2 linked regions of the Arabidopsis thaliana genome follow. The protein of the gene in region 2 purifies or fractionates together with the protein of the main gene of each other region. This does not show direct contact. Each region holds a gene or a part of one and is shown on either strand. Other genes may lie near its edges.

Region 1 (3,846 bases), on a different chromosome or scaffold from region 2:
TTCTTCAGAAGAAACCTGGGAACATAATATAGTGAGAAAGATATCAAGATCCAACTTTTACGAAATCTTTATCAGTACTCTCTAAAACAGTTATGTCAAAACATATAAAGGAATGAGCACTACCTCGACATCTCAACCGCTTCTTTATCAGTCCCACGAAAACCACCGTCAAGTTTTGCCATCAGGAAGTTTTTAGTAAGCCTGTTGATTCCGATCCCTTCTGTTATTGTATCAAATGGGTTCTTTAGCCGACGCCCTTCAGCTTCTTCTCTTGTGTACATCACTCCCCGTGTTACTTTATTGTACAGACCAGATCCAGGAGGATCAATCAGAAAACATTTAACTCTTTCATTCTTATCCTGTATAAATGCACCAACAAGTTATGAGTTTTTCTTTTGCTTATAACATCCACGAATTACTCATTCTTACATCTTTGATTAGTATAAGCCCTGAGTAATTATACCTGAAGAAACCTTGAAACACCAGCTAAAGTCCCGCCTGTACCCGCAGCAGCAACAAAGGCGTCAATATTACCCTGAGTCTGGTGCCAGATTTCAGGGCCAGTACCTTCATAATGAGCCCTATAATTTGCCAAGTTTTCAAATTGATCTGCAAAGAAGCCACCGGTAACTGAATCTGAGAATAAGGAAGGCTCTTTCACTTCCTCAACCGTGCAACCATTAGTTTTCTCCTGGTGTATGCCATTTGTTTCGCTCCCTAGTCTTCTCTTTGATGCTAACTCGTTTGCTTCGTCAGCCCGTCGCCTCGCAATGTTGACATAGTGATCCTTGTGAGTTATTGACACTGGCCTCACTCTCTCAACAGAAGCTCCAAGGGCTTCAATTATTTGAGACTAAAATAAGTCCAACACGATACAAATTTGAGTGTATGTACAATAATGCATACAAGGGAATTTGAATCATCATCAAGGTATTTAAAAGATATAACCTTTTCAATAGCAGCATCATCAGGTATAACAACATGACATTTACACCCATAAGCCGGAGCAACTGTAGCAAGGCTAATGGCAGTACTTCCTGCACTACCCTCAGTTACAATTCCTCCAGGGAATAGCTTACCAGATTCCAAAGCCTAAACAGAGAAACAAAAAAAACATAATGGACTTGCTTCTCGATTTCAAAAACCACTAATATAAATAGCCAAGCTGATGATTCAATCACTGACATTGTTAAGAGAGGTTTATGATGATCAAAAAACTTTTAAAAGTTGAAACCTTTACAATGCTAATCATAGTGTACCTCTTGAATGATCTTGACAGCAACTCTATCTTTAACACTACCTCCTGGATTCAAAAACTCGCATTTCCCAAGAATCTGATCACCAGACGAAACAAGTAGAATGAAAATTACATCTTTAACTCATAAATCACACTATCAGTTCGTCAGACCAAACAGAAAATAGCAAAAGAACATCGAGAAAAACCTCACATCCAGTAGCCTCAGAGAGACTATTGATACGAATCAGAGGAGTATTGCCAATGGCATCAACAAGCCCGTTTCTCATAGTCAACTTCTCCTTCCTCTTCTTCTTCTCGGAGAGACGGAAAAAGAAGCTGTAAGAAGTAAGCATCAACAACGCCGCTGCTGCAACAACAGCGCCAGTCATATTAACAGGCGCCATTGAAGCTCAAGCTCGCCTTCTCCCGTAATCAAACCGGTGAAGTAAAATTAGGTCGTCGGCAAAACAACACTATTTCTATTATTTGTTATTCTAGCCCCCAATATTTCCTTTAGTTAAAAATAAGGCACTAACATTTTTTAAATTATCAGATGCGTCCTTCATTTGATTTGTTCTTAAACTCGTCTCCTGAAGGCTGAAACCCTTTGCTCTCACTCCCAAAACGATGTCGTCTCTATCTCGCGTTCTCCGTGGCACCTTCAACACTTGCCCGATCCGCCGTTTTTCCTCCGCCGCCACCGTAGTCTCCGAACCCACCGCAGTCACTGCCGCAATCTCGCCTCCTCAAAAGTCACTAACCAGTCTCGTGAATGGCGAACGAAACCCCAAACGGATCGTGGAGAAATTCAAGAAGGCATGTGAGTCGGAGCGGTTCCGGACCAACATAGCCGTGTACGATAGAACCGTGCGCCGTCTCGTAGCCGCAAAGAGATTACACTATGTCGAAGAGATTTTGGAGGAGCAGAAGAAGTACCGCGACATGTCAAAAGAGGGATTCGCGGCGAGGATCATTTCTCTGTATGGAAAAGCCGGCATGTTTGAAAATGCACAGAAGGTGTTCGAAGAAATGCCAAACAGAGACTGCAAGAGGTCAGTGTTGTCCTTCAATGCCTTGCTTAGTGCATATAGACTTTCCAAGAAATTCGATGTGGTTGAAGAACTTTTCAATGAGTTACCTGGAAAGTTATCAATCAAACCAGATATTGTATCTTACAATACTTTGATTAAGGCATTGTGTGAGAAGGATTCTTTACCTGAAGCTGTTGCATTGCTTGATGAGATTGAGAACAAGGGACTAAAACCTGATATAGTTACATTCAACACACTTTTACTGTCTTCGTATCTAAAGGGACAGTTTGAGCTAGGGGAAGAGATATGGGCTAAAATGGTGGAGAAGAATGTAGCAATAGACATCAGGACTTACAATGCTAGGCTGCTTGGATTAGCCAATGAGGCGAAATCGAAAGAGCTAGTAAATCTCTTTGGAGAACTTAAGGCTAGTGGGCTCAAACCTGATGTTTTCAGTTTCAATGCTATGATTAGAGGATCTATCAACGAAGGAAAAATGGACGAAGCTGAAGCGTGGTACAAAGAAATTGTGAAGCATGGTTATCGTCCTGATAAAGCTACCTTTGCTTTATTGCTTCCTGCTATGTGTAAAGCAGGTGACTTTGAGTCTGCGATTGAGCTCTTCAAGGAGACATTCAGTAAGCGGTATCTTGTCGGTCAAACAACGTTGCAGCAGTTAGTTGATGAATTGGTGAAAGGGTCTAAGAGAGAAGAAGCTGAGGAGATTGTGAAGATTGCAAAGACCAATGATTTCTTAAAGTTGAAGCTAAATTTGCCGTCCCAGGAAGAGTAAGTCATTTGCTACTCTCTCACTAAGTGTCTCGTTGAATTGTGTCTGAGCAGCTTAAGCTATATGTATTTGCTGGTGTTGCTTTGTGGCTTTTCTACTTCTCTAAACTTTCCTCTGTGGAAGTAAGACTTGTTTCTTTCTATGTAGTTTCGCTTATTTCACTGGTGCAAAAAACAGCATGTAGTCGAGGTTTAGGCAGAAGAAACCCTACAAATTTAATAAATTTTGGTTATTTGTTTTCTCTTTTTGACACGAATGAATTTATTATTTTTGTTGGAAAAATATTTTCATTTTATTTGGTAAATAAATAGTGTAAAATAACTTCATTAATTAGTTATTAAAAGCCCGAAATGCAAAAATAAAATAAAATAGATTCTCTTCTTGGTAAACAAGTAAAAAAAACAGCAAAAAAAATAGAAAAATATCGGAGTAGAAATAAACCGACTACCAAACAGTGGATAAGAGAGTTAAAACGAGCCCATAAAACCTGTTTCCAAACAGTCCATCTGTTAATTTTCCTTTTCTCCGATCAATTCCAAAACCCTACTTCAACCCTGCGATTCATTCATCATTCACAGAGTTTGAAGAAAACGCCGAAATCGGAAATGGCGTCTATTGTTCTTCGATCTCGCCTGTTGCCAAGATTAGCAAAGCTCAGATCTCGTAATCTGAGATGTTTCTCTGCGGAAGCATCTTCGACGAATTCTACATCTAGGTATTCGGGAGTCACCTCTACCCAGTCGATGTTTTCTGATTTTCCACCGCCAAATCAGCCGCCACCTCCTCCT
Region 2 (4,294 bases):
AATCTTTGGCTTAAATTTTTAGTTTTAGTAATCAAGTATTTTTATTATATTTTTACTTAAATGTTTTTTACTTATAAAGATGTCATATTTGAAAGAAAAATAATAAACACTAAACCGGCCGATTTAGCCGATTAACACCGATTTTTAACGCCTAAACCAGTAAGCTGATATGATTCACGGATTTCATGAGTGCATAGGCAGATGCCGGTTACTATCTATGCCTAATAGTGAACAGGTGCAAAATATTGGTTTGACAAGAAGCGACTTCTCAAACCAATCTTCTTTTTCTATATACAACCTAGTGGAACCTAATAGTGAACAGCTGCAAAATATTGGTTTGAGAAGTTTTTCTTTGACTGATGGCGAGTTCTAGTGTGGATGTCTGGATGACGATAATGTAAAACAAAGATGGAGCGTTGTTTTTATCAAAACGAAGAAAACTGAAGATAAGTGGAAAGCTTTGGATGTCAAAGAATGGAATATGTAGTGCACAAGATCTCAATCTTTTACGTATAGTTGCATCGGTTGGCTTAGGCATCAACCCATTAGATAGATTTATGGAAATGCATGGTTCAACATTGGTGTTGAACGCTTGAATTATAACCCAAACAAAAAAAATCATTAAGTAACCAAAATCTTTAAACATATATTAAGATCCTTTATCACACTAGTAGTCCTAAGACATGTACAAGCCAAAACACCAAGGAAAGAAACCAACGAAACCGCTACCTGGTTTTATACTATCTATGCCGATTACCAAAAGTTGTCTCTAAATGTTGACATCTTCAAAAACCGTAAGAGGCAGCTCTGGTGATACAGGCATTGTCGCTACACACTTGAACTGTATTGAACCAAATAGAAAAAGAAACATGTGAATCTCAAGAACATTGTTCTTCAAATTATCATTTAATAGTATTTAGGGTTACCTTATGCTGCTTGTATTTCTCTCTTATAGCTTCTAAAGCTCCACATTTTCTACTCAGATACAAGTCATGTATCATAGCCACACATTCTTTCAAATCACCCGCTTTGTATCTTGTGTATTCTTCCAACATCACATTCTGTTACATTCAACACCAGAGCTTTAGCTTCTTATATAAAGTAGTGAACACAGAGAATTAGAACAAGAACCGCTTTGCAAAATGCTTTACCCAGGGATGTTGTTTTGGACGGATGATGAACCTAGCGAGAAACACCGCTGAAGCAGCCACAGTAGACGGAAGAAACTTCACAGATTGATAGTCTAACATGCTCAACTCCGAAAGATAGCTACAAAGAAACTCCATCTGTAAATGTGACATCTGAAACAAATAAGAGAAATTCTTAGCAAATTTGATACTCTCTATAAATTGCAAATACCACAATTCAAAAAGAGCTTACTTCGAAATCTTCTTGTGCAACCCTTGTAAACCGTCTGCACAAAGCAAAACGCAATGAGACAATAAACTACACAAAAACATTACTCAATGAGCACCAAAAGAATCAGAATCAAACCTTAGAAACGTGTTGCTTGTAGGGTTTCCTAATTCAAATTGCAACGCAAGAAGTATATCAGCTTCCATCTTAACAATCTCTTGTTTCGTGTAAGTATTGTCTGTGATATAACAAAAGTCATCCACATTTGGAGGAGTAATCTCTTCATACTTTCTACAAATTTTTCAAAACCAAAATCCAAATAAACAAACCCACACAAAAAAAGAGAGATTCAAACAAACAAAACAAGAAAAAGCTTACGAAGCAATAAGCATTGAAGTAACTCCCAAAAGCTGAAGCCTTTGTTTATTAACAGTCTTGAGAGACAAGAATCTATCAATGTAAGAAACAGCGAGGTAAAGAGTGTCTGAGAGAAGTTTGTATTCTTCAGCAACTTCTACTAACCAATCAACCAAAACTCCTCTCATATTCGAAGTTACATCTTTCTGAATCTTCTCTATATAATCAACCAAAGGTCTTGACTTTACCTGAATTGTGTTAATCGAGAAACTAACTCAGATTGTGAAATCTAGAAATCTAGAGATGGGTTTTGTTTCTTTACCTCTAATTGACGAAGATACTCGAAGATTGATGTAACATAAGGACCACACATTTGTGGATCATCAGATCTTGTGTCAATGTCTGAATTTAAGGTTTCGATTGTCGGAATCGAAACTGATTTCTTCTTCTGTTTTGTAGTGGCTTTTCGAGATTTCTTGATGTTGGACAAGTTTGGAAGCTCTCCGAGTACGACTCTCTTCTTGTTGATTCGTTCTTTGTCTATTGCCGCTTCCATGGAAGCTTTTCTTTTTGTTGCTGCTCTTGTCATTCTCACGCAGTTCTCTTTTTCGTCGGCCATGGTTGATTGGATTCAAGAGAGAGGGATTGAGATCGAGATTAGGTGGATGAGAATGGAAGTGAGAAGGGTGAGAAAAAGAGAAGAAGCGAAGAGACATTTTTGTGATTTTTTGGAATAAAGTTTGGATTTTGGCGGTTTTTCCGAATTCTTTACAGGTTTTGATTTTTTGAAAAATGAAGCTGAATTGTGTTGGCGCGATGTTTTGATTAGAGTTTTGAGCTTCGAAATTTTCACCGGGAAATGTTAAATTTGGTATCACAGGAAGACCTAATTCGTAAACGAGGAAGATGATGATGCAAATTGTCAATGGGCTTGTTTATTGGCCCAATATGTCTTGCCCAATAGTAATGTTTTTAGGAAATATTCCCAAAAAAACCCGAACTATTTAAAATCTGCCAGAAAACTACCTGAACTTTTTTCGTTGTCAAAAAAATATACAAACTAATTTGGATTGAAAATAAAAAACACGATCTATTATTTTTTTCCGATTACCTCCCTTCGCCGTAACGACCGTTAACGGCGTTAACCAAATCGGTTAACATTTTCAATTTTATTTATAGAAAATTTCTGAAAAAACCACGACTTATTTAATATTTGCCAAAATAATACCCGAACTTTTTTTCGCTGCCAGAAATATATACAAACTAGTTTAAAGTTGAAATAAAGAGCATGATGTAGTTTTGTGTTCCAATTTCACTCACTTTATCGTAATGGTTACAAAAGGTTAACTAAATAAAAATATATTTTTTCATTTTCTTTACACGTGGTAAATAAGAGTGGCGATAAAGCCGATTTTATCCCCTTATAAACCCATAATCTATGTTGAACCTCTTTGAATCCTAGTGTTAATATAACACATCTATCCATTTCAGATATTAACCATAATAAACTGAAGAAATTAATAAGAAGAACTTTCGTTAACAAAGGGAGTATTTTTTTTTTTAATTTATTGTTGCTTACATCGAATCTAGATATACGATAGATATTTTAAAAAAATTTAGTAATTTAGGATAAAATATACCCATCAATAACATGATTTTGGTTGATATTACTCAAGATCTTAAGGTTTTAGAGGATTGCTTTAATAGTCAAGCTTTTTTAAGAATTTTTGTAAATAAAATTAACAATATTTGACAATTTGGTTAGGGAAATCGAAAAAATAAATATAGATCGTGTATTATATTTCCAATTTAAGTTAGTTTGTGTATTTTTATGACAACAAAAAAGTTCATGTATTTTTTTGGCAAATATTAAATAAGTTAGGTTTTTTTCCAGAAATTTTCTGTAAATAAAACTAACAGTGTTTGACGATTTGGTTAACGTCGTTAACGGTCCGTTACGGTGAAGAGAGGTAATTGGAAAAAAAAAATAGATCGTGTATTTTATTTTCACTCAAAATTAGTTTGTGTATTTTTCTGACAACGAAAAAAGTTCAGGTAGTTTTCTGGCAGATTTTAAATAGTTCGGTTTTTTTTTGGGAATTTTCCCAATGTTTTTAACACAACAATTTGTTTTGTCTTGCCCAATGAGATTGAACAAGACCCAAAAAAGAAAATTTTCAATTCTAAGCAACTGTTAAAAATATTTATGGCCTCATTGCCTGGTGGATAAAGCCGTTCATAGTGGTCTGATTATTGCGGAGAGAGTTTGTCCATCGCAGGGATATCATACATGTACAACCATTCATAGAAAATCTGAGTGTTGCAGGGAGAACTGTACCGTGGAATTGTTGCAGATTGTATGTAGTTGAATACCACCATCATATGACGTAATAAGAAAACAAAAACAAAAACATCTATAGCACTAAAAATAAAAAATGTTACAACAGAAACAAAGATTTTTATGGAATAAATTTAAGAATTCTTAAATTTGTATTCTGAAAAGAATCTATTTAATAGAAAATTGGTTGAGAAAATTTAGCTAAATTTGTTTTTTTTCCCTATCCTTATAAAACTAAATCTT

What was found. The genes of interacting proteins can lie anywhere in the genome.
Region 1: the proteins of CYCA3;1 (region 2) and AT1G55890 purify together in Arabidopsis thaliana (affinity purification with mass spectrometry, with the first as the bait; one large-scale study listed by BioGRID). This does not show direct contact.

Annotation. Positions count from the first base shown.
Region 1 is NC_003070.9:20,899,500-20,903,345, forward strand, and holds AT1G55890 (Tetratricopeptide repeat (TPR)-like superfamily protein), read left to right. Parts: upstream 1-1,743; 5' UTR 1,744-1,864; coding exon 1,865-3,061; 3' UTR 3,062-3,301; downstream 3,302-3,846. Other genes in the region: AT1G55880 (Pyridoxal-5'-phosphate-dependent enzyme family protein), read right to left, coding at 1-15, 124-359, 464-853, 949-1,092, 1,260-1,334, 1,444-1,641; TIM50 (Haloacid dehalogenase-like hydrolase (HAD) superfamily protein), read left to right, coding at 3,664-3,846.
Region 2 is NC_003076.8:17,291,265-17,295,558, reverse strand, and holds CYCA3;1 (Cyclin A3;1), read right to left. Parts: upstream 2,608-4,294; 5' UTR 2,333-2,607; coding exon 2,036-2,332; intron 1,962-2,035; coding exon 1,735-1,961; intron 1,648-1,734; coding exon 1,495-1,647; intron 1,415-1,494; coding exon 1,381-1,414; intron 1,302-1,380; coding exon 1,152-1,301; intron 1,062-1,151; coding exon 927-1,061; intron 842-926; coding exon 770-841; 3' UTR 535-769; downstream 1-534.